4 linked regions of the Cricetulus griseus genome follow. The protein of the gene in region 3 binds, or shares a complex with, the protein of the main gene of each other region. Links are inferred from orthologs where the notes say so. Each region holds a gene or a part of one and is shown on either strand. Other genes may lie near its edges.

What was found.
Region 1: the proteins of histone H3.3A (region 3) and Dnajc9 are in contact, whole or in part, in a crystal structure (PDB 7CJ0), measured with the Homo sapiens proteins. The link is inferred for Cricetulus griseus from reciprocal best matches to the Homo sapiens genes H3-3A and DNAJC9. Residues at the interface, in NP_001365972.1 of Homo sapiens: Ala88, Ala92, Glu95, Ala96, Gly103, Leu104, Glu106, Asp107, Asn109, Leu110, Cys111, Ile113, His114, Lys116, Arg117, Val118, Thr119, Ile131, Arg132; in NP_056005.1 of Homo sapiens: Glu196, Ala197, Glu199, Ala200, Glu201, Ser203, Arg204, Leu207, Leu209, Gly212, Val213, Leu216, Lys217, Ala219, Ile220, Gln221, Arg223, Gln224, Arg227, Met231, Phe234, Met238, Tyr242.
Region 2: the proteins of histone H3.3A (region 3) and Morc3 are in contact, whole or in part, in a crystal structure (PDB 4QQ4), measured with the Homo sapiens proteins. The link is inferred for Cricetulus griseus from reciprocal best matches to the Homo sapiens genes H3-3A and MORC3. Residues at the interface, in NP_001365972.1 of Homo sapiens: Ala2, Arg3, Thr4, Lys5, Gln6, Thr7, Ala8, Arg9; in NP_056173.1 of Homo sapiens: Pro406, Asp407, Gln408, Thr409, Trp410, Val411, Gln412, Trp419, Asp424, Leu429, Pro430, Glu431, Trp433, Glu450, Glu453.
Region 4: the proteins of histone H3.3A (region 3) and Carm1 are in contact, whole or in part, in a crystal structure (PDB 5DWQ), measured with the Homo sapiens proteins. The link is inferred for Cricetulus griseus from reciprocal best matches to the Homo sapiens genes H3-3A and CARM1. Residues at the interface, in NP_001365972.1 of Homo sapiens: Gly14, Lys15, Ala16, Pro17, Arg18, Lys19, Gln20, Leu21; in NP_954592.1 of Homo sapiens: Gln148, Tyr149, Phe152, Tyr153, Gln158, Asn161, Met162, Asp165, Glu257, Pro258, Met259, Gly260, Tyr261, Glu266, Val340, Leu412, Thr413, His414, Trp415, Tyr416, Ser447, Lys470, Pro472, Phe474.

The regions. Positions count from the first base shown.
Region 1 is NW_023276807.1:200,587,512-200,593,513, forward strand, and holds the start of Dnajc9 (dnaJ homolog subfamily C member 9), read left to right. Parts: upstream 1-2,122; 5' UTR 2,123-2,200; coding exon 2,201-2,380; intron 2,381-2,552; coding exon 2,553-2,693; intron 2,694-2,782; coding exon 2,783-3,037; intron 3,038-5,236; coding exon 5,237-5,323; intron 5,324-5,653; coding exon 5,654-5,767; 3' UTR 5,768-6,002.
Region 2 is NC_048597.1:3,963,976-3,969,958, reverse strand, and holds the start of Morc3 (MORC family CW-type zinc finger protein 3), read left to right. Parts: upstream 1-2,103; 5' UTR 2,104-2,219; coding exon 2,220-2,258; exon of another isoform or gene 2,259-2,393; intron 2,394-5,983.
Region 3 is NC_048598.1:13,481,490-13,486,805, forward strand, and holds the end of histone H3.3A, read left to right. Parts: intron 1-4,210; coding exon 4,211-4,339; 3' UTR 4,340-4,848; downstream 4,849-5,316. UniProt on the Homo sapiens protein: Variant histone H3 which replaces conventional H3 in a wide range of nucleosomes in active genes. Constitutes the predominant form of histone H3 in non-dividing cells and is incorporated into chromatin independently of DNA synthesis.
Region 4 is NC_048597.1:134,415,307-134,421,303, forward strand, and holds the start of Carm1 (histone-arginine methyltransferase CARM1), read left to right. Parts: upstream 1-2,117; 5' UTR 2,118-2,162; coding exon 2,163-2,385; intron 2,386-5,997. UniProt on the Homo sapiens protein: Methylates (mono- and asymmetric dimethylation) the guanidino nitrogens of arginyl residues in several proteins involved in DNA packaging, transcription regulation, pre-mRNA splicing, and mRNA stability.

The DNA of each region.
Region 1 (6,002 bases), on a different chromosome or scaffold from region 3:
CTCAAGAGTAGGAAACTCTTCAGAGTCCATATGTCTACCTACAGAGTCTTCCTACACACGTTGTTGCTTATATGAGAGAAGAAGTGATAAGAGAGAGCTTTTCCAGAGTTAGTGGTAGAGGTCCAGGAGGTGGCTCAGGGGGTACCAGTGTTTTACCATGAAGTTCTGATTTCAAATTCTTTGAAGTCTTGTAACAGGAAGTGGAAGAGTGTAATAGCAGGCAGCATCCTCTACAGGAGCATGGGCAGGAGAGACAAAGGAATTTTCAGACATAGGCCAACTGGTGTGCACAGTGCAGAGGTCCAAAATAAAGGTCTTTCTCTGGCCTCCACACGTGTTGTAGCATGTACATGCCCATGTACTCACATGTCAATGTGCACACATACACACATCATACACAGAAGATGGTCAGTGATAGAATTGTGTTTGGGTATCCTGAGTTTGGTATGTAAATCGGAGGCTGTATGAAATAAAATCTAACATCTGCTTCACCAGGACAATAGGACTTTACAGCTATATGTATGAATTACATGTTGAAGGGACCCTAGCCCACTTGAGCTTGTGACTCTGGCAGGCCTTGCCCTTCTCCCCAATTCCCTCTGCCTTGCTAAAAACCGTTAGATTATATTCCTAAAGTTGGCCACCAAGGTCTATTCTTTTATTTGGCCACTTCCCCCTGAGGCTGATTACCAAGGTCTGGCTATCAAAGTATTAAATAAGTTCAGCAATCAAAAGCCCCTTTTGGTTCACCCAATTAACATGCCTAACTAAAATATATGACACATTCTAACCCTTTTTCTCTTCTCAAAAATTACATCAGCAAGATCATTTGCTGCTGTTTTTCTGCCTGAGTCAGAAAGCAGCCACTTTAACTTTTCTTTCCCGCTTAATAAAGGATCTCTGTGAAAACATGTTTGGGTGTGGTTTGTGCCTAATCCGGGGGTTCTGGAAGAATCTAAGGAAGCTAATGCTCTGGCTTGTCTTATTAGGGTTCTGAAAACATTTACTAGCTAATTAAATTAAGCTCTGTGTTGAGGCTCTCCAGTGTGACTGCTGGTTTTCCTTCACTTGTCATGAGGACACCTTGAGAGTAGAAAGGGACTGACTTTTTTTTTTTATTAATTCAAGTTAGGGAACAAGCTTGTTTCACATCTAAGTCCCTTCCCCCTCTCCCTCCCCTCACCCCCATCTCTCCTCCTCCACCCCCAACCTACGCCCCACCCCATCCACCCACCACTCCTCAGGCAGGGTAGGGCCCTCAACGGGGGGGGGGGGGGGTGGGGTGGGGGCTCTGCAAAGTCCACCAAATCTTCCTGTCCTGGGCCTGGGCCCTTCGGGACTGACTTTAATTGGCTTTGGTTTTTAGATACTAGGAGGAGGAAAAGCTGAGAAACCACTGAAATGTTAAAAATTAGAGATTGAGTCAATATTAGGTCCACCAAAAATGTGACTGGAGCAGGCGAATGGGATTAATTCTGTACTGTCAAATATATATGGCCCTGGGAGATAAAAGATATTTTGTTTTGGTTTTTTGAGACAGGGTTTCTCTATGTAGCTTTGGAGCCTATCCTGGCAGTTAAAAACTAAGCTTTTGCATTTTGTTACACACAGGCTTTTTCCTGCAGGGATTCAGGGGTTCATCCAAGATGATGTCTTTTGACCCTGTAGTTGTACTGCTTTAGAGGACCATCTTTAAAATCACACACACATTAATCTGTGGGTAGAGCATGTTAAATTTCTCAACGCTAACACATGGCCACTTCTATTACGTTTACTTATTTTGTGTGATGTGTGTGTGGGTCCTGGAGGTCGTCAGGTATGGCTGAGCATCCTGGCCAGCCCGAGTAACCGCTTTCTATTGGGAAACAGTTATATATCTCAGGTGTCATCGAGTGAGCTTCTGTGCAGGAAACCCGGAGGCAGCTTTCGGGGTAAGGAGGAGTGCAGGGTCGCGAGCCAAGAGGACGCGCCCTGGTTGGCAGGAGGCTCCGCCGTCAGCACGCTGAGGGCGGTATTTTACTTTCGCAGGCGTGATCGAGTCCACTTTGCGGCTACCGTAAAGCGCGGTTGGACCCGCCCACGACGCGCCTCCTGTGACGCAGACGCCCAGTGTTTTTTTTTGGGCGGGAAAAGGAGGCGGGCGGGCGGAGCGGCTGTGGGTGCTGGTTATCGGCGTTCTCGGAGCAGCCTCTTCCCAGTCATGGGGCTGCTGGAGCTATGCGAGCAGGTGTTCGGCACCGCCGACCTCTACCAGGTGCTGGGCGTGCGGCGCGAGGCTTCCGAGGGTGAGGTCCGACGCGGCTACCACAAGGTGTCTCTGCAAGTGCACCCCGACCGTGTAGACGAGGACCAGAAAGAGGACGCCACCCGCCGCTTCCAGGTACGTGTGTGGGCCCGTGTTCGGGCGGCCACCCCGACTCCTCCCGCTCTCGCGGAGACCCCCACCCCCGGGACAGCGCACTGCTGATAACCGGCCTGGCATTTTAAAGCATTTGTAGCCGCACGGTGTCAGCGAGAGATTCAGGGTGACTTTGGGTGCTCCTTGCCTGCAGATCTTGGGGAGAGTCTATGCGGTTCTGAGTGACAAGGAGCAGAGAGCAGTGTACGATGAACAGGGAACAGTGGACGAGGAATCTGCTGGCCTCGACCAAGACCGGGACTGGGACGCGTATTGGAGGTTACTCTTTAAAAAGGTAAAAAGGGCTTTAGTGGCTTTGACTAATTCCCGTCGTCCAGCCCACAAGGACAATTCTCGAATTAAAGCGATCTTCTTTGTTACTAGATATCGCTAGAGGACATTCAAGCTTTTGAAAATACATACAAAGGCTCTGAAGAAGAGCTAGCTGATGTTAAGCAGGCCTACCTAGACTTCAAGGGCGACATGGATCAGATTATGGAGTCTGTGCTTTGCGTGCAATACACAGACGAACCCAGGATAAGAAACATCATTCAACAAGCCATTGATGCCAAAGAGGTCCCATCCTACAATGCCTTCGTCAAAGAGTCCAAACAAAAGATGAATGCAAGGAAAAGGAGGGTAAGTTTGAGTGTTGTTCATAACCTATCTCGGCTGTTTCAAAAAGGGATCTTGGGAGTATTTACAACGATGGAAATAAAGACTGCTGAAATATGGGCTGCTTGACCTATGGCACTCATCTACTAGATATTCTTGTCAGATCATGAAGAAAACCCTGGTTATTTTGTTTTCTTCTTCTTTTTTATTTTTGGTATGTTGTGCTGATAATGATTTTACTTTATGGATTGTTTGAAATCATCATACAGTGACTCTGAAACACCTTTCACATGGGGCAGCTTTGCTGAAGCTGTCCTAGGGAGATCTAAGGAGCCTGGTTACATGGCAAACACTGTGGTCCCTATGTGATTGGTGAACAGGGAGAAGATGGTATGGCTGTTAAGAGTGCAATGCTGGACTGTGGGCTCCTGATACTCAAGCACCAACAAGACTAAGAAATTGCCACTTCTGGGGTCAGGCTGGCGGTGTGTGAATCAGAGCTGGATTGGTTGTCTAGTATGTAGTAGGTCCTGAGTTAAGTCTCCAAAACTGCTCAGAAGAGCGGGAGAAAACAGAGATTGATTTTTTTAATTCTGTAAATGCATATAGTTATTAAAAACTTTAAACTAAGGGGCTGGAGAGGTGGCTCAGTGGGTGTGTACTGCTCTTACAGAGACCCAAGTTCAATTTCCAGCACCAGGGTTGGGTGGCTCATAACTGTCTAACTTCAGCTCCTAGGGATCTTACACCTCTGGTCTCTGTGTAACCACGGAGTAACTCTCCAGACCCCACCTACTACTGCTGCTGCTTTTTTTTTTTTTTTTAAAGCACACTTGAAGTGAGTCTTTCTGCCCCCATTCTGAGGAACACCTGATTGCTGAGAATTGAGGAATTGAGGGTTGGGACTTGTGATTCTTCATACCCCTGTTAAGCCAGGGTTGGTAGGGATGGTAGCATAGGAATTCAAGGTAGCAAATGTCTGTGTTGATATTGCCTTGGACTGCTATTAAAGCAATAGTTGCTTCATCTTGGCTTTCACAGTGAGAGCTTCCCAGGGAGCCAGCAATTTAAGATTTTACGTATCTGGTGGGTACATGAATTGTCTTTTTTGTGGCTCAAGTGGACAGGCAAAGAGCCAGAGCTTTTGGATACATGAAATTGCAGAGAAATCTGACCTTTGTGGATGGAGTGAGTTTAGGGCCTGTTTTGCCCAGATAAGAGACTGCCATGTCTGTTGCTCTGAGGGAAGAAGTCATTTCATTGCATGGCTACATCTGCTTAGAGTCATGCCCGCTGCTTGTTAATCCTCTCAGGTAAAACTGAGAACAGCTGGATTCAGACATACAATTTTACTTTGAGAAACTTGAGAGTTTGAAGGGGGAATGACAGTTTGAAAGCTGTCTAACCAGTGTGAAAGGATTGAGGGGGGCTGAGAGGCGAGAATAAAGCAAAACTTGTTTTGTTCCAGAATAACAAGATCCCAATTTATTATTATCCCCAGTATTAATGAAATTCTTTGTTTATTAGAAAATTTTACAAGGAATTAGGGCCTCATATTATTGAAGTTGCTGCCTTTAGGTGTTCTTTTGGTATTTTGGCAAATTTTGTTAAATGAAGGCAGCTTTGAAGTCAGACTAAAGCCTTTGAAGAAAGGCTGAAACTGAATTTGCTAATGTTTTTCCTAACTACTCAGAAAACTGCGTGTGTGTGTGTTTGCTGGTGTGCTAGGAGTGCAAGAGTGTGGGGGCCCAGAGAGGCTGAGAGGCTGTGATTCCCAGGAGCTGGAGTGACAGGCAACCTGATGTAGGTGTCCGGCATGTCCTCGAAAAGCAAGAAGTTCTGCTAACTAGTGAGCCAGCTCCAGAGAGAGCCTTTAAACCACTGGGGTTCACAAGGCTGCCACCAGTGCTGTGTACAAAATGGGGTTTCAGCTGAAGGTCCTGAAGAATCTTGACACCTGGCGTCCCTGGCTATGTGACCTTCCCCATCCACCTAGTAGGCTGTTTTCCTTTGTGTGAACACCTGGTTTGTGTCTCTAGGAAGTACAGCTGGGGATAAAACCAAAGGGCATATTGGAACCAGAGCAGTGTATGTCATCTTCTAATGAAAACCACATGCAATTTTATCCATGTGTCTCCAGCTGTAGAAGGGGCGGGGGGGGGGGGATGTGTATTTTCGTTATTTCTTGGTTGCCATGAAGTCTGATGAAACTTTTCTGTTTAGGCTCAGAAAGAGGCTAAAGAGGCCGAGTTGAGCAGAAAGGAGCTGGGGCTGCAGGAAGGAGTGAATAACCTGAAAGCACTCATCCAGGTAAACGTGGCAGGCTTCCCTCTGGCTCCCTCACAGTCCTCTCACCATCCCTTATTGTGTGTATGCCCTTTGGAAAGGAGGCTGGTGTGTTTCTTTTAAGGCACAGTTACACACAACTTACATCATATGTACAGTTAGGTAGTTTTTCCCTCTCCAAGTTGTGCAGCTGCCACCACTGGTTCTGGAACATTGTTACCACTGCAGAGGAAGCCCATACAAACTATTAGTCACTGGTGTGCTTCCTTGACCACAACCCCTCCTAACCGTGAAATACTTTGTCTCAGTGGACAGTGCTGCATTTTAAAAGCTGTGTTTTAACTTCTCAAACAGAGCAGACAAAAGGATCGGCAAAAGGAAATGGACAATTTTCTGGCTCAGATGGAAGCAAAATACTGCAAACCTTCCAAAGGGAAAAGAACGGCTCCCAAGAAGGAAAAGAAATAGAGTTTGTTCTGCTTCAAATTCGTGGATTACTTAAGCCAGACAGGATTCATCAGTTTGATCTTATGTCTCCTAGAATTCACCTGACCTTGTGCAAGGGCTTCTTCACATGCAGGATGTAGTTGTGATGGTTGGGAGGGTGGATTGACTACATTTGCTTCCATGGGCCATCTGATATGCATGCTCCTAAAAGACACTCTACCTACGGAAAACACCCTCGCAACACTTGTTCAACATC
Region 2 (5,983 bases), on a different chromosome or scaffold from region 3:
ACCTGTGAACATCTGGTATCTCAGAAGACAAGAGAAGTGTGTTGGATCTCCCACAACTGGAATTATAGTTGTGAGCTGCCATGTGGGGACTAAGAACTGAACCTAAGTCTTCCTCAAGGGTAGCCAGTGCTCTTGGCTCCAGAACCATTTCTCCAGTGCTTCTCTGTTGATCCCAATCCAGCCCCTTTCAATCTCTTCGACTTGGCTTTGTCATCAGTGGCCTTTCCGGAATGAGTGGATGCTCCTTTCATAGCTCCTCCAAGTAGAAGATAGGATTAGGATGGGGACAAGATCCAGCCAGAGCCAACCAATTCTTCACTAGGGGCAAGAATACCACATTCTTAAAATGAATAGAACCCATGAATGGCGAGGTGGATCAGTGGTTAAGAGCCCTGGCTGCTTTTCCAGAGGACTGGTTTTAGTTCCCAATCCCCACATGGCAGCTGGCAAATCACCTGTGACCCAGTTCCAGGGCCTCTGATGGCCTCTTCTGGGCTCAGGCAGGCAGTGTTTAATTGATAGCGGGTCTGGAATAAAGAGCACTTTATCTGCAGAAGAGGAGCCGGGAGAATTCAATGCTCTGTATTACTTGAACTTTCACACAATCTTTCACTGGAATCTCCAGCTAACTCCTGCTTGATCTGGAAAGCCCCTTTCCTCTCTCCCCAAGCCCCGCCCTCTCAAAGAATCTCCAACAGAGAAAAGCTGCCAAAAAGCCCAGTTCCGCATTCTTGGCAGCTGAGGCAGCTCCTCCCCTGGAGTTGCCAGCTGCCCAAGACCCCACCTAAAGTTGTCAGCTTTTGACCATACTTGGGACACAAACCCAGCTTGTGGAGGGCGTGTCATCGACCCTCGCCTACAGGGTATATAAGCTGCCTGCCTTAGCTCGGCTGCCTTATAAGCATTGCAGCTCAGACAGTAGGGAGCCAAGGGGTACCACAAAGTCATTGTAAGCGCAGCAGCTCAGGACCCTGCTCCAGGGAAAGGTTTCCCAATGACACAGCTCTGCTCTGACAGGAGCAGGCTTCCCCAGCCAAGCTGTACAGTTCTGCTTCACTAGGGAAGGTTTTCCCGGAGAAAGTCTTACAGTTCTGCTCCGCTTTGTTGAAAAGTTGTTGTCTCCTCCGCTCCATTCCAGCGGAAGAAGATCTCACCCAAACCTCATTCAAGAGATTTATTGGTAGGAAAGAATCTAGAAGGGTGGCTGCCTCCGCCAGGGCGGGAAAAGGCAACCAAGAACTGAACAGGCCCTGGGGTGGAGATTATCAGGGTGGGCATTGGTCGGATTTGAATCCCTGAGTTTGGATAAGATCAGTGATTGGTTGGTTTTCCTGCTCAGGGATTGGTTGGTTTTTGTACTCGGCCAGTCAGAGGCAGAGTGTTTCTTTGGTTCTGGTTTCAGGGCCAGGGTGTGTTTCTTTGGCTGGACCTTTCACCCTCCACGCGTGACCTCTCCGGCCCCGATGTCTGGGGCTGAAGGACTTACCTGGCAGTTGCTTTCTCAAATAAGCCTGTTGTTTTGCTTTTCCAGTTCGGCTTGGCCCGGCTTACCTACTATCCCGTTACAGAAAACCTACTGAAAGTGTAACTCTGGTGAGGTGGCGGTGGATACTCTCGCAAGCCTCTCATCCCTGTCTTTGCCTGTCCTGTTCGCCTTGCTTGATTCATTCCTACATCCGACTCAGTGCAAAGCCGGGCTCGACACACAGTGAGTCAACGTCTGGCGCACTACGACGCCAGATGAGAGCTGGCCTTTCTCAGGCCAATCTAAAGAAAAGCACCATTATTTCCTTGCGAAGTTTTTGTCTGGTAAAGTTCCAATGACATCATTACCAGCGGACACGGGTCACACCCGTGCAGGGCGAGCCTCATCCGAGTTGAAGCTTCCTCCACACTCACGCTTCTTCTTCGCGCCAATCTTCACCCTCAAGGCGCAGCCACCGGGCGCGAGTTTGTGTCCGCCGGCCCGCCGCACGCATGCGCCCGGCGCCGGAGCCGCCTGCGCGCGCAGCAGGTCAGACTCGGTCGGGCAAGCCCCGCCTACGCGCCCCGCGTAGGCTTTGCCCGAGGCGGAAGTTAGTGGGCGGGGCCGCGCGGGTCGCCCCGCCCAGGAAGTGGGCGTGAACGGAGACCCCCCCCACACCACCTCATACACGGCGGACTCAGCCTGCCAGTCGGGTTGCGGCCGAGGCCGGTCCTGGCTTTGTAGCTCTCTCAAGATGGCGGCGCAGTCACCCAGCGGGATCCGCCTCAGCGCGGTGAGCAGCCGCGAGGGGAGGAGCGGCCGGGTCCCAGGAGGGCGGGCGGCGGGCGGTGGCAGTGGGCGCGGCGGCCGGGGGTCGCGGTGCGGCCGCGGAGTCGCCGCCATGTCGCTCGGCTCGCAGGAGCGGTGGGCGGCGTCGGTGCGGCGCCGGCGCGGAGCCGGCCGGCGGGGCGGACCAGGCTGCCCAGCCCCAGCCCGGCCTCCCTTCCCGGCTCCGCGGCCGCCGCCCGCTGTCGTCGCAGCCGCGCCCTCGCCCGCCCTGCCCGGCCCGGCCGGGATCGGATCGGGGGCGGCTGCGGCGCGGGCGGGCGGCGGGCGGACTGCGGGCGGCCCCGCTGCGGTGCCTCTCCCCCGGCCGTGCCCGGGCCTGCGGTCCTCCCGGGGACCAAGTTGGGAGTGGTCGCACAAAACCACTCGCACTTGGGGTCCAAACACCGTGGGCGTGGCTTCCGCACCTGAGGATTCCTCCTGCGAAGTTTTTACGCTCGGCGGGCACCGAGGCCGCCCGCAGGCGGGGAGAGCCCGGCTTCCGCAGCCCGGGGCTCCCGGTCGGAAGCGCGGCTGCAGGGGCTGCCCGGGATCCCCGCGCTCGGGCCAGCGGAGCCCGCAGATCCTCGAGGGCACGGGGAAGCCCTGCCTCCAAAAATAAAATAAAAAAAAATAGGCTCTCGGTGTTAGATTTCATCGCTGAGCGTACGGGTTTCCAGAGGTTGTCGCTGGCACAAGAAGGAGGCATCTGCGGCCCTCCCTCCTTCCCACCCTCCCTCCCTCTCCCCGCCCGGTCCATTCATTTGGCCATGCTCGCCCTGCAGTGCTCTCAGGCGGGATGGGATGGTCCCAAGTGGGAGTGAGGTGTTACCTGGCTTTGTTGCCCCTGCCCGTTTGTGAAGTTATCATTCTTCACATCTGTTTTGTTGTTGTTGTTGTTGTTGTGTTCTAATTGCCCGTTCGTACAGATTGCCCATTTTTCTCCACATTTATTTATGTGCATGAGTGCTTTGCTTGCACGTGTGTATGTATGTTACCCACCCCTGTGCCTGGAGACCAGGAGGGACTCAGGTCCCTTCACTTACTGAGGGAGTGAGTTGCCTCGTGGGGTACTGGAAACTGAACCCTGGTCCTCTATAGGGCAGTAGGTGCTCTTACCACCAAGTCATTTTTCTGGAGTCCATAGTTTGGCCATTCTTGCTTAATCCCCTTTCTTTTGATTACATCTTCCAAGTTAAGGACCTTTAGTTACATAGTTTGTTTAATGAAATGGTCTTTAGTAGTTAAAAGAGAGTAACTATTCCTTTTTTTTTTCTTTCTTTCTTTCTTTTTTCTTTTTTTTTTTTTTTTTTTTTGGTTTTTCGAGACAGGGTTTCTCTGTATTGTTTTGGAGGCTGTCCTGGAATTCTCTCTGTAGACCAGGCTGGCCTTGAACTCATAGAGATCTGCCTGCCTCTACCTCCTGAGTGCTGGAATCAAAGGTGTGCTCCACGAACGCCCGGCTAACTTTATTTTTTCTTTCCACTGGGGTTTAAGCATTCTGCTCCCCAACTGGGTTAATCTGACACTCACCACTCTTAGAGCCAAGAGTTGTTCCCAGGGAAATAGTAGAAATTATTCTGTCTGAGGCCTGGAGAGATGGCTCAACCTTTAAGAGCACTGGCTGTTGAGAGGTCCTGAGTTCGACTCCCAGCAATCACACCAAGGCTCACAACCATCTCTAGTGGGATCTGATGCTGTCTTCTTCATAAAGGTGTACGTGCAGTTAGAGCACTCATACATAAAAAATAAATATTTTTTTAAAAAAGGAAGAAAAGAAATTATTCTGTGTAAATTATGGGTGGCCAAGGTCCTGGACCAGGGATATAAATTGCCCTGAATAGTGAGGTGGTGGTGGGTGAGGAAGAGGCAAAGCTCTGTGAACTCTTTTAAGTTTCAGGCTATCTTGATGTGCATAGATGAGTTACAGTCCAGTCAGAGTAACATAGTAACCGTTTCTCGAAAAGAAAGATTGAAATGAAGCAAGCAAACAAAATTCCTTAAAGTTGGCAGTGTTGCCCCATGGAGTGTTCTTGAGACCCACTGTAGCACTGTAGTAAAGTGCATAATTACTAGCTGACCCTGGGTGTGGCAGTGGTTAGAGGGCTAATTTGGCACAGGCTCTTGGAACCTCAGAATTTTTTTCGACTGTCTGCTTTTGGTTCATGACTAGTTGGTATAGTATAACTTACGAACCAGATCCAGCCTGGCACCTGTTTTTGTATGGTCTGTCATCTAAAAATGAGCACTCAAAATGGTTGGAAAAAAATTCTGTGATGTATGAAATAAATGTTAGTTTCCATAGTCCTATCGGGGGGATACCATGTGCATTAATTTTCCTATAACTGTGAGATCCTTGGGTTAGGAGAGAATCTAAAGATGAATGGGCTTTGTAGTTATCAGCCTTAACGTATGCAGACTTTATTTAGAAATACTCACCCTCCCCCCCAATCCAAGTCCTTGGACATGCTAGGGAATTATGCCATCTCAAACGCTCTTGATAGACCTTTTAGAATGTGGAGTGCAGAGAAAAAAAATAATTGTTTCCATCTTCTCTAGTTGTAAGTGAAATGCTCAGACCATTGGTTGCTGTTTGTTGTGTTCTCTCCACCAGAGAGGTCCTGTGTGTCAAGCTGGCACAGGCTGACACACTGCTCCCATGAAATGCATGCTGCCTTTATTTACTTTCTCTTGTTGGAGTTGCTCTTTTCTTTTCAGATATGCCTGCTGTTGTGCTGTGATTGCATTTTCTATACAGCCTTTTATTTTCCCTGGTTAGTCGTTGGTGTATATTTTGTTTGTTTTTTTTTTTTCTATATATATATATATCCTGATCACTTTCTAAAGGACATAGAAGTCTTTTTCCAGCATTTATCAGTTAGGAGTACTTGGCTGGGTAGTGTCTTGGACTTCCTCCCTTAGTGAACACTTGTCTAGTGACTGACATCACAAGCTGGGCCTGCCCTCATGACCTCATCCTGACATAGGGAATTGGACATGTGACTTTAAAGGACAAGGCACTTAGTTTCTTTTGTACCCAGAGTTCCATTCTGAATGATGAGTTGCCCATACAGGATTGTTTTAGGTTTTTGAGGAACCACCATACCATGTTCCCTGGAAGCTGTACATTTTACATTCCCAGCAAATGTCAGCCTAAATAACATACAATGGTATTCCAGAACAGCAGATCACAGTGGCAAGGAATTGCAAGCAGAGTTTAGTAACCGTTTATGGACATAGTGAGGCCAAGGAAGACAAGCATGCTAAAAAGTCAACGGGAAAGGGTTGTGTTGTGAACAGTTGTCTTTGGCTGCAAGGACCAGGAGCAAGGGTCCTGTCAGCTCAAGGGTAGTCAGTGAGCTTCTGGATAGGCGACATGGCAGAACTGTTTTTATCTAATAGGAGGCTGTGATTTTAGCAGTCTTTTGTGAAGGTTTAATGTTATCTGGCAAGCATTTCCAAGGATATTCCTTCCCTGTGTGGCTTTCCCTGTGTGGAGTTCAGAGGACAATTTTTAGGAGTCAGTTCTCTGCTCCGCTGTGGTCCCAGGGATTGACTGAACTAGGGTCTTCAGGCTAGACTCCAGGCAGTCTCTACCTGCCGAGCCGTTGCCAGCTACTGACTATTTTGATACAACAGAGCACAAAAGTGCCAGTTTCTTCACATCCCTGACAGCCTTCATTGTCTTTCTCT
Region 3 (5,316 bases):
TCAACATCAGCATGGGCTGATAGCTAGTTCAAGACTAGCCTGGGATGACACATTGTTTGTGATCCTGACTTAAAAAGAAGACAACTGGGCATGGTGGCACAGGCCTTTAATCCTAGAACTTGGAGGCTAAGGCCGGCACGTCTTGAGTTTGAGATCAGCCTGGTCTACAAAGCGCGTTCCAGGATAGGCTCCAAACCTACACAGAGAAACCCTGTCTTAAAAGAGTTTAGGCACTGAGATAGATGCCTCTGGTTAAAAGCACTGCTGCTTGTCCTTTATTTCCCATCTGTCAGGCAGCTCACAGCCACCTGTAACAACAGGTCAAGGGATCTACCCTCTGGGCCTTGCACACTGGCATTATTGCATGGATATGATGCACATGCATGCACAGATAATACATTAATCTTTTTAATTACATAACTAACTCAAAGATAGCTTCTCTGTCCCTCCAACATTCCAAAAATCCCCAAAAGATCCCCAAAACTGGATGATTTCAAATCCTATGTATAACCTGGGTGGTCAGGTGGTTTTATGTGCATTAAGTAGTAATTTATAACTTAGACACAATATCAGACTGCAACAGTAAAGGAGGTGGTACAGTTAGAACAATGCACTTTTGTAGTCCTAAATAGAGTTTAAACCTAGCGTCTCCTGCTTCCTTGGGTAAGCACTCTATCTACACTGAACTATTCCCCAGCATTATTTTAATGTGGGTGGTTTTTTTTTTTTTTTTTTGAGACGGTCTTTCTATGTAGTCTGGTTGTTCTTGAAGTCACAGATCTGCCTGCCTCTGACTCCACAGCGCAGGGATGAAAGGTATGCATTACCATGCCTGGCCAACTTGTCTTGAACGTGCAGTTTTCTTGCCTCTACCTTCCTGAGGTGCTAGCTTGCATTGCTGGCAGAGTATACTGTTAATAAAAAGTTTAAATTTTATGAAATGTGTGTCAGGTATGATGGCTCACACCTGTATCCCTAAGACTGGAGGCTGTGGTGGGAAAATGATTTAAGGCTAGCATGGGCTAAATTGAAACCTAGCCTCAATAAAAATAAAGTGTTTACTTCTAGCTTTTCCATTTAATGTGTTCAGATCATGGTTGGCAGTAATGAGAGTTGTAGAGATGACGAAACAACTGAAGGAAAAGGAGTATGAATGTAGCTCCAAGAGGTAGAGAGATTGCGGATAATTGGGAACTGACCAATGTAATAATGCTTAGCTTTTACCCCAAGTCAGAGAGCTTGAACTAAAATGTTTTTATATTAAGAATGGACAGTATTGAAGCAGAGTCAGACTATAAATATGCTAGGTGTGGCAGTTCACAGTCTTTAATCCCAGCACTCTCAGGAGGCAGAGGCAGGCTGATCTGACTGCAAGGCCAGCCTAGACTTCAGAGGGAATTTGCGGAAGAGCCAGGGCTACACAGAGAAACCCTGTCTCGAAAAGCAGCAATGTTATAAATAAATTAATATCTATTCATAAGTTGCTTTTTCTTACCATTTCAAAATTGTATTCCTTGTGTTAAAAATTAATGTGACAAGTGTTTATTTTGATACAGGGTCTTACTATTTAGACCTTGGCTTAGAAGTCAGATTCCCTGCTGGGATTGAAGGCATTTTATACCCTGCTGGACCCCCTTTATAATTTTAGTGCTATAAAGGGATTTAGGAGCATTTGGTAAAAGATTTGGGAATATATGTGTGTTCAGTAATCTTCCAGAACACAACCCCTAGAAGCAAACAGTCTCAGATACATGACCCCAGTGGTACTCCCAGAACAGATTTTTGTTAATATCTTTGAGGCAGGGTCTTGCTAAGTTGTCCAAGCTAGCCTTGAACACATGGATCTCCTGTTTCACCCTCCAGAGTAGGTAGAGTCCTACTGTAGGCAGAGCTGGAGAAGATTTAATGAGGGTTAGGTATAAAAAGCAAACTAACAAGCACTGAACATGTACATGAGAACCAAGCGTTACATGGAATGAGATATCTCTTAGCAAGTTAACTGAAGGGTATTAAAAGCTGACTGGGCCGGGCATTGGTGGCGCATGCCTTTAATCCCAGCACTCGGGAGGCAGAGGCAGGCGGGTGTCTGTGAGTTCGAGACGAGTCTGGTCTACAAGAGCTAGTTCCAGGACAGCCTCCAAAGACACAGAGAAACCCGTCTCAGAAAACCAAGAAAATAAAAAAATAAAGCTGACTGGTGTGAATGCACAGGAACTGAGGTATAACTTAATTACCAAGAACGTGTTCCTTCAAGGAATCCTTTTTGAGCCAGAACTTGGATATTAAGACTCCTAAGTGTTAAAGACATAGGAATAGTAAATTTTGCATGAAGCTAGATTTTTATAGAAGTATGATACTAAGGATTCCTTATGGATGAAGATGGGGCTGTAGAGTTAGCTTCCTTAAGTGCTTGTCTTGCAAACATGGAGGCCTGAATTCAATCCCTAACACCCATGTAAAAAGCTGTGTGGTAGGTGCTTGTAAATACACTGAGAACAGGGGCTCAATGGTTAACCTGCATAGCCTGGCTCACTAGTTCCAAGTTTCTGTGCTGGACTCTGTCTCAAAAAACAAGGTGAGACTGGGAAGATGGTTCAGTCATTAAAGTGCTTATCATACCAGCATGAGGACCTGGGTTGAAATCCCCAGTACACACAGAAAGGGGCACAGTGTCTTTCATCTCAGTGCCAGAGAATTGGAGATAGGCAGATCCTTGGAGCTTGCTGGCTTACCAACCTAGCTAAATTGAAGGGGCTCCAGTTTTGATAAGGAGCTCTGTCCCAGTAAATAATGTGATAAGAACTGACAAAGGAACCCAATTTCATCTCCTCTCATGCACACACACAGGTGGCTCCTGAGGTTGCTCTCTGGCTTCTGTGTGTACACACAATGCCTTCCCACTCAAATCCATACATACACAAAGGACGAAGTTACCAATGTGAACGAAGGGCAGCACCAGTGGTAGAGTGCTTGCTTAGCATGCACAAAGTAATTTATAAAAACTTTCCAGATGTGTATATTTTATGTTGAACCATATTCCTCTTCACTTCCTTTGTTAGTATATATATAAAGCAGAATCTTAGTTTTGTTGTGTGACGTATTGGTGAAAGGGGATGCCACTAGGCTACATTGTACTCCAATTCCTATCCTGGGAATCGTAGGAACATCTTTTAAAATGAAGCTATTTATTTGTGTGTGTATGTATACATTCCACTCAGAACAACCTGCAGAAGTTGGCTAGCCGCCTTCCATCCTGTGGATCCCAGGGAACAAATAATGCCAGCATTTGAGTTGTAGGCAGGGGTCCCAAACTTTGGGTTCTCTCATGTCTCGTTACAATTGTCAATTAATGGTTCATGCAGCTAGCAAGTTTGGGGTGGTAATGCCCTGGGGAGCTGGGCAGTGTTGGTGCCCGGCTTTAATCCCAGGACTCAGGAAGCAGAGGCAGGTGGATCTCTTGAGTTCCAGGCCAGCCTCATCTACAAAGTGAATTCTGCTCAGGACAGGCTCGAGAGCCCAGTCTCAAAAAAATGCCCTGGGAAATCTTACAGTGAAAGGAGAGGGGAAACAGGATCAGCATTCTAGAGGGCAGGAAACACCATTATGCATTGAGGATTTGGAAGAAAGTACTTTGAAGCTGGTTACACAGATAAGTCAACCAATCGATGATGTATTCTGGAACCCTTCCTTAAGTACTCCTGTAGAACTGAAAGGAGAACAAGAACAAGGTTCAAAGTATAAGAATGTGGACAGGCTCAGAGGTGAGGGGGACCTGTTCTTATTGCTGCTGCCGTGGTTGGTGTCAGCCTTTGGAGAGGTGTTGGGCTGCATACAATTCCCTCTGTAAGGGTGGGAATGTTAGAATTGGTTTCTTTGAAGTGTCTTGGTGCTTTGTATGATTTTATAAAAATTTATGAACTTATGCTGGATGGTGGTGGTGAATGCATTTTAATCCTGGCATTCCAGGGGAGATATCCTGGTCTACAAAGCAAGTTTCAGGACATCCAGGGCTACACAGAGAAATCTTGTCCAAAAGGGAGGTGGGGTATGAGCCTAAGCATTTTGATAGTTTTTGGTGTGTGTGGGTGTGTGTGTACACCGTGTGATGTGAACATTTGATAAATTAAGTTGTGATAAAAAAGTAAGTTTGTAAAGGGTTTTACTATTATATAAGTGTTGGAAACAATAGTAATTTTTCTTTATTTTGCAGGAGGCAAGTGAGGCCTATCTGGTTGGCCTTTTTGAAGATACCAACCTGTGTGCTATCCACGCCAAACGTGTAACAATTATGCCAAAAGATATCCAGCTAGCACGCCGCATACGCGGAGAACGTGCTTAAAAGTCCACTATGAGGGGAAACATTTCATTCTCAAAAATTTTTTTCCTCTTCCTGTTATCAGTAGTTCTGAATGTTAGATATTTTTTCCATGGGGTCAAAAGGTACCTAAGTATATGATTGCGAGTGGAAAAATAGGGGACAGAAATCAGGTATTGGCAGTTTTTCCATTTTCATTTGTGTGTGAATTTTTAATATAAATGCAAGATGTAAAGCATTAATGCAAGCAAAATGTTTCAGTGAACACATTTCAACAGTTCAACTTTATAACAATTATAAATAAACCTGTTAAAATTTTCTGGACAATGCCAGCATTTGGATTTTTTTAAAATAAGTAAATTTCTTATTGACGGCAACTAAATGGTGTTTGTAGCATTTTTATCATACAGTAGATTCCATCCATTCACTATACTTTTCTAACTGAGTTGTCCTACATGCAAGTACATGTTTTTAATGTTGTCTGTCTTCTGTGCTGTTCCTGTAAGTTTGCTATTAAAATACATTAAACTATACCTGCTTTTGGTCTTTATTATTAATCTCACAGATAAAAATTTAATATCCAGTGATTATCAGCTTTTGTGTGAGACAAAACTCTTGAGAAGCAAGGCAGTGGTGTCACATACTTTTAATCCCAGCATTCAGGAGGTAGAGGCAGTTGGATCTCTGAGTTTGAGGCCAACCTGGTGTACAGATTGAGGTCCAGGATAGCCAAGGCTACACAGAGAAACCCTGTCTCCAAAAAGCCTCTTGAGAGACATAGAAAAACAAAGTCATCAGCTGGAGTGTCTGGAGAAACCCAGAGTACAATCATAGGCACATACTATCAAATATCTAATATGGTTTCTCACTGCAACAGTCCTAGCTGTACTGGAACTTTGTAGACCAGGCTGGCCTCAAACTCACAGGGATCTCCTTCCCCAGTGCTTCACCACTGCCCACTGGTCTTGCTTTTTTTTTTTTTTTTTTTTTTTTAAGTTATT
Region 4 (5,997 bases), on a different chromosome or scaffold from region 3:
ACCTCCTCTCCCACACTTCCCCAGCTGCACCTGACTTTCAGACTGTGTAGCCCTGTCTGTCCTGAACTCACAATGTAGACCAGGCTGGCCTCAAACTCACAGAGATCCACCTGCCTCTGTTTCTAGAATGCTGGGATTAAAGGTGTGCACCACCATGCCCAACTTTAGGATGTTTCTGCTGTTGTTGTTTGAGACAGGGTTTCTCTGTGTAGCCCTGGCTCTCCTGGAATTCACTCTGTAGACTAGGCTGCCTGACTCTGCCTCCCAAGTGCTGGAATTAAAGGCATGCACCACCAATGCCCGCCGGGTGTATGTTTTTCTTTTTTTAGTGACACAATTTCACTTTGTAGCTCAGCCTGGCCCAGATATCACATCATCCTGTTTCTGCCTGAGATTACGGGCTTGTACCATTGGAGGTGGGAGGCTGGGTGTTTTGTGAATCCTGTTGGCATAGCTCCTGTTAAAGTAACAACCCTAAGGCCTCAGGTAATCTTTCAATTTGGGATTGCATGGCTTTGGGGGTGGGGAGGGAGATGAATTTGGAAGTACCATACCACTGAACTTCAGTTGGGGATGCAGGAAGGGAATGGAGTTTTGTGACCAGGAACGTGGGAACAAATGGGTCTTTTTTTTTTTTTTTTTTTTTTTTTTAAGATTTTATTTATTTATTATGTATACAGTCTATACAGTCTTCTGCCTGCACGCCAGCCCAGCAGAGGGCACCAGATCTCATTCAAGGTGGTTGTGAGCCACCATGTGGTTTCTGGGAATTGAACTCAGGACCTCTGGAAGAACAGTGCTCTTAACCTCTGAGCCATATCTCTCCAGCCCCCGGAAAAAAATGGGTCTTAAGGACCAAGAGTAAATGAAAGGTCCCAAACGGCCCAGCAAAAGGTTAACAGCAGATGACACTGTCGAACACAGTATCTAGCCATCACTGGGGGACCTGAGAGTGAACTGGAGGGAAGCAAAGGTCCTGGGACGAAAGACTGAAATACAATGAGAATGCCAAAGTCTGGGGGGGGGTGGGTTCAAAGTGCTTTTATAGTAGAGCAGCATGGGGCGGGGGCCACAGATAGCCTGCAAGCCTGCCCCTTATCGCTGGTCCTTTTCCAACCAGCAAGAGGACAAGGCGGAGCGCCTGGCTAAGGCAGGGGGCGGGGCCTAGCACCAAATTTGGAAACCATCCTCCAGATTCCCCAGGCCCAGGAGCGGTCATTTGCGGGACCCTGGGCAGGAGACGCCCGACCTTCCCGAGGCAGAGCACCGCCCCTCGACTCACGCTTCTGCCACGCCCTCAGAGCGCCGGCTTTTGGCTACTAACCGAGGCCCTTCTGGGGCGGAGCCAGCTCTCCTCGGGGCGTATCCTAGTGGCCGAGCGCTCACCCCCGAGCGTGGTCTATCGCAGGACGCCGGCTAGGGGCGGAGCCCAGCCACCGAGGGGGCGTTTCTTCTTAGTCGGACGCGGGTCCCAGACTCAAGGCCCTCCACCTTTCTTGAACTACTGCAGTGTGGGTACAAGGCAAGGCCGCTCGCGTGCTTCCCGCCTTGGGGCGTGGCATGGCGGGGCGTGGCCGAGCGGCCGAGCGCCGCCCCCTGACGCACACGGTGCTACAAAGCGCGGTGGTTCACAAAACGCCGGCCTGGGGGCGGGGCCGTCTGGGGTCCTTCCGGGGGCGTGCCCGGCAGGCCAAGCACCGCCTCCTGACGCATGCCCTGCCCATCTCTCCAGAGCAGCTGCGCTGTGGCACAAAGCGCCGCTTACACGCAACGCGGCCTGGGGCGGAGCCTAGCGCCCCTGGGGGCGTGCCATAGCGCTAAGCACCGCCTCTCGACGTAGGCTCCTTTACCCGGCGTGCCGGGGCGGCTTAAGCCACCTCACAAAGCAGCGACCGTTCCCGCGGGGTGGGGCCGGCCCCACCCACGTCGTGCTCGCTCTCGCCGGGCTTTCTCAAGCGCCAGCAGGGGGCGCTGCGCCACCGAGCCCGGCCCGTGGCGGCGGCGGCGGCGAGGCGGCGCGTGGCCGGCAGGCGGCGCGCTGCCAGGCTCGGCCTCGGCCTCGGCCTGCGCGCGCGGCGGCGGCGGCGGGCGGCCTGGGCCCGGGTGCGGCGGTGGCGGTGGCGGTGGCCGTGGTGGCAGCGGGGCCTGGAGCCGGACCTAAGATGGCAGCGGCGGCAGCGACGGCTGTGGGGCCGGGTGCGGGGAGCGCGGGGGTGGCGGGCCCGGGCGGCGCGGGGCCCTGCGCGACAGTGTCGGTGTTCCCCGGCGCCCGCCTCCTCACCATTGGCGACGCGAACGGCGAGATCCAGCGGCACGCGGAGCAGCAGGCGCTGCGCCTCGAGGTGCGCGCTGGACCAGACGCGGCGGGCATCGCCCTCTACAGCCGTGAGTGCTGGGGACACCCTGGGGACGGCGGCGCACGAGGCCGGCAGCGCGGGCGCCGGGGGAGGGGGCGGGCGAGGGGACTCGGGCCGAGCTAGTGCACGCGGCTCCCTGAGCCCGCCGGCGAGATGGCAGAGAAGGCGTGCGCGGGGACCAAGGAACCCCAAGAGGGGCGCGGGAAACAGTCGGGAGCCTGAGATTTGCAAGGGGGGGGGTCGTGGCAGGAAGTGGGGCCCCGAGGATTCAGGGGGGATGATACAGAGGGGCCTGGGGAGAGGGAGCGATTGAGAGGGCTCTTGAGCGGGTGTGGTTTGTAGATCTCATCTCAGGGGGCATCCTCTACACACGCATAGGGACATTTGAAAAGTGGCTTTCAGTGTGGAGCTCCGGGAAGACTGGGTGCCGCCCTTGTGGAGAAGGACTTGGGATTCGGGACCCCCCCCCACCTCTCGATTGGTAAACTTTAGAACTGGACACAGAGATAAAGATTCCCACCCCCATCCCGCATGGAAACGTGGAAGAGGGGCAGGCCGGCTTGCTGATGGCCGGCTTTAGAAGTCAAGAGGTAACGCCACCTCCCTCGACATGCGCCTCCTGTCTTCTTTTTTAAGGACGTGAGAAGCTGGTGACATTATCAGAGGCGGCTTCAAAAACTGACATTTCAGTGGGGGAAAGGGGGTTAATCACAGTGTGTTTGCGAAGGGCAACCCCCCACCCCCAAGCTTTGTACTTCCACCTTTCATTCTTTCTCTTGTTACTTTCTTCTGGCGGATTCCTCAGTGTCATTTTGCTATTCTGTTTCATGGTCTTTGTCTCCCAGGGTTTCGTTCACTGATGCTCTTAAGGGGCCACCAAAGAGAACTGGATTGGTTTTGGCCTGTGGGAATCATTTCCCCCTCCTTGGTAAATGGGGTGTTGGGAAGGGAAATGTGTGTAGCAATCCTGTAGCAGTCCGTTCAGATGGGTTCGCCTCTCTTTGCCTTGACTTTGAAAACACAGGAGAAAGAAGTGTGTCTGGTGCCCATATGTGGGGCACCTTTGGGGACTTGGGCAGAGCTGGGATCTCCTTGACCACACGAGGGAAAGGGGAATTTCACAGATTAGGAATTTAGGACTAGTAGGGATGCGAAGCTCTGTAGGACCCCAGGCCCCTAGGTAAGCTGGAGGTACCTGGGCCTACCCTGGAAAGTGTTCTGGGAAGCTGGCTGTGGTGGCGCCGGCTTCCCTGTGGGCACAACACTTGGTAATCTGAAGTAGGAGGACTGAAAGCTAGAGTAAAGCTTGGGTGATGTGGGCAGAGCCTGCCGCAGTCGCCAAGACAAAGTTCTGGGTGGCTTGGGTTGTGAACTTGACAAAAACATTTTTATTATTTATTTATTTTTGTTTTTTTAAGGCAGAGTTTCTCTATGTAGCCTCGACTATCCTGGAACTCACTATGTGGACCAGGCTGGCTTCAAACTCACAAGAGATCCTCCTGCCTTTGCCTCCCTAGTGCTGGGATTAAAGACAAGCACCACAATCACCCAGATAAAAACATTTTTATTTATACAATTTATTATATTTACATAATTGTTAGATCCCACATAATCCCTTACACCCAATTTTATTCTTAGAAGCTCATCTTATTCCAGGGGAATCTTTACAGTTTGTGTTCTTTTGCTGTAATTATCTAAGTTGCCTGGGGGCTCAGCGTGGATGAGGATATGGGTTCTGTTCCCAGCAGTGAAATAAGATGATCATGAACTAGGGATATTGCTTAAGTAGAACATTTACCTAGTAAGTTTGAGGCCTTGGGTTAGATTCCCAGTACCACCAAAGCCCCCAAAAGCAGTCCTAAAGTGCCAGGTGTGATGGTGCAGGCCTGAATACCGGCATTTAGGATACTGAAGCAGGGGAAATTCAGTGTCGTGCGCCCCCCCTCCCAGGGTTTCTCTGTGTAGCTTTGTAGACCAGGCTGGCCTTGAACTCACAGAGATCCATCTGCCTCTGCCTCCCGAGTGCTGGGATTAAAGGTGTGCGCCAACACCGCCCAGCCACCCCATTTTTATTACATATAATTATCTATTTGTGTTTGTGTAGGGGTATCTCATGTCACAGTGAGAATGTGGAGATCAGAGGATAACATTCCAGAGTTGGTTCTCTTTCCACCATATGGGTCCTGGGAATCAAACCAATCTCATGAGATTTGGTAGCAAAGTACCATTACCCACTGAGCCAGTTTTGAGACAATCTTGTGTTTTCCAAGCTAGTCTTCAACTTACTTTGTAATCCACAGTGGCCTTGAACATTGTGTTACTTCCACTTCCTTTCTGCTGGAATTATAGACTTGAACCACCATTCCTAACTTTGGGGCGTGGTTAAACATGGGTTCTGAAGACAGGCCAAAGCTGAGTGTGTAGATTTCCAATGGTCTTTGTAACAAATGATAAGTTTGGTGGATTAGAGCAGTTGGGATATACTCTCTCACTTCCTGGCCACACTCTGAAATCAAGGTGTCTGCAAGGTCACTCTCACTCTGGAGTGGAAGGAAGAAGATTCTCCCTCTTGCAGATTCTAGTGGCTCCAGGAACTCCTTGGCTTTCTGTAGCCAAACTCTAATCACCCCTCACTTCCTGTGGCTTCTCATTTGCCTCTGTGCACTTGTTTCCTACTTTTGTTTTGAGATGGTCTCATGTAGCGCCTTCTTGGGGCCCCAATGCTTTGGTCAAGCCCTAAGACACTGACCTGTTCATTATGAGGCTGTATGCTTTCAGCCAAGCTGTGTTTCCAGACCCTAGGGTCTGAATTTGTACACAGGCTGTAAGGAGGGTTTATCAGAATACCAGAAGGAATTTTTTTTTTTTTTTTTTTTTTTTTTTTTAACGATTTTGGAGACAGGATTTCTCCTGGAACTTTCTTTGTAAACCAGGCTGGCCTCAAAGGCGGATCGAAGAGATCCGCCTGCCTCTGCCTCCCTAGTGCTGGAATTAAAGGCGTGCGCCACCAACGCCCGGTCAGAAGGAATCTCGTAGTGCTTCACATGTGTAGAGATCTCTGTGGGTCCTGTAAGGGCCCTGAATTAAAATTCAGGAGTCTGGCAGATACTGGACAGTCATGTAGCTTTTAGTTAGCCTTATGACCATCTGTGCCTGTTTCCCTACCTGCAGCAACACTTCTCTGCCTGGTGTGTACCTCCTGTGGACTGAAAAGCTTGAAGAAGAGAAGGTTTTGTGGAGCAGGGGATTTGTAGCAAGTGTTTGTCAACAGTACATTTCTAAAATTATATGTTCTTTGGTAACTTCACATATGAATACAATGTATTTAAATCATATCCACAACCCAAACAACATTTTTACAGATGTTATTTTATTTCATATTATTGTTGTTACTAATATTTTGAGACAGTGTTATATTGTGCAAGCTGGCTTCTAATACACAATGTAGCTGATGACCTGAACCTCTTGCCTCCAATCTCTCCAGGACTGGGAGTACAGACATGCAGCAAGCACCATGCTGGTTTATGGTGTGCTGAGGATGGAGCCCCAGGCTTCATGTATGGTAGGCAGACATCCTACCCACTGAGCCTCAGCCCTAGCTATCAGGATAGCATAGCAAAGAGCTCGTTTTCTAGGATGT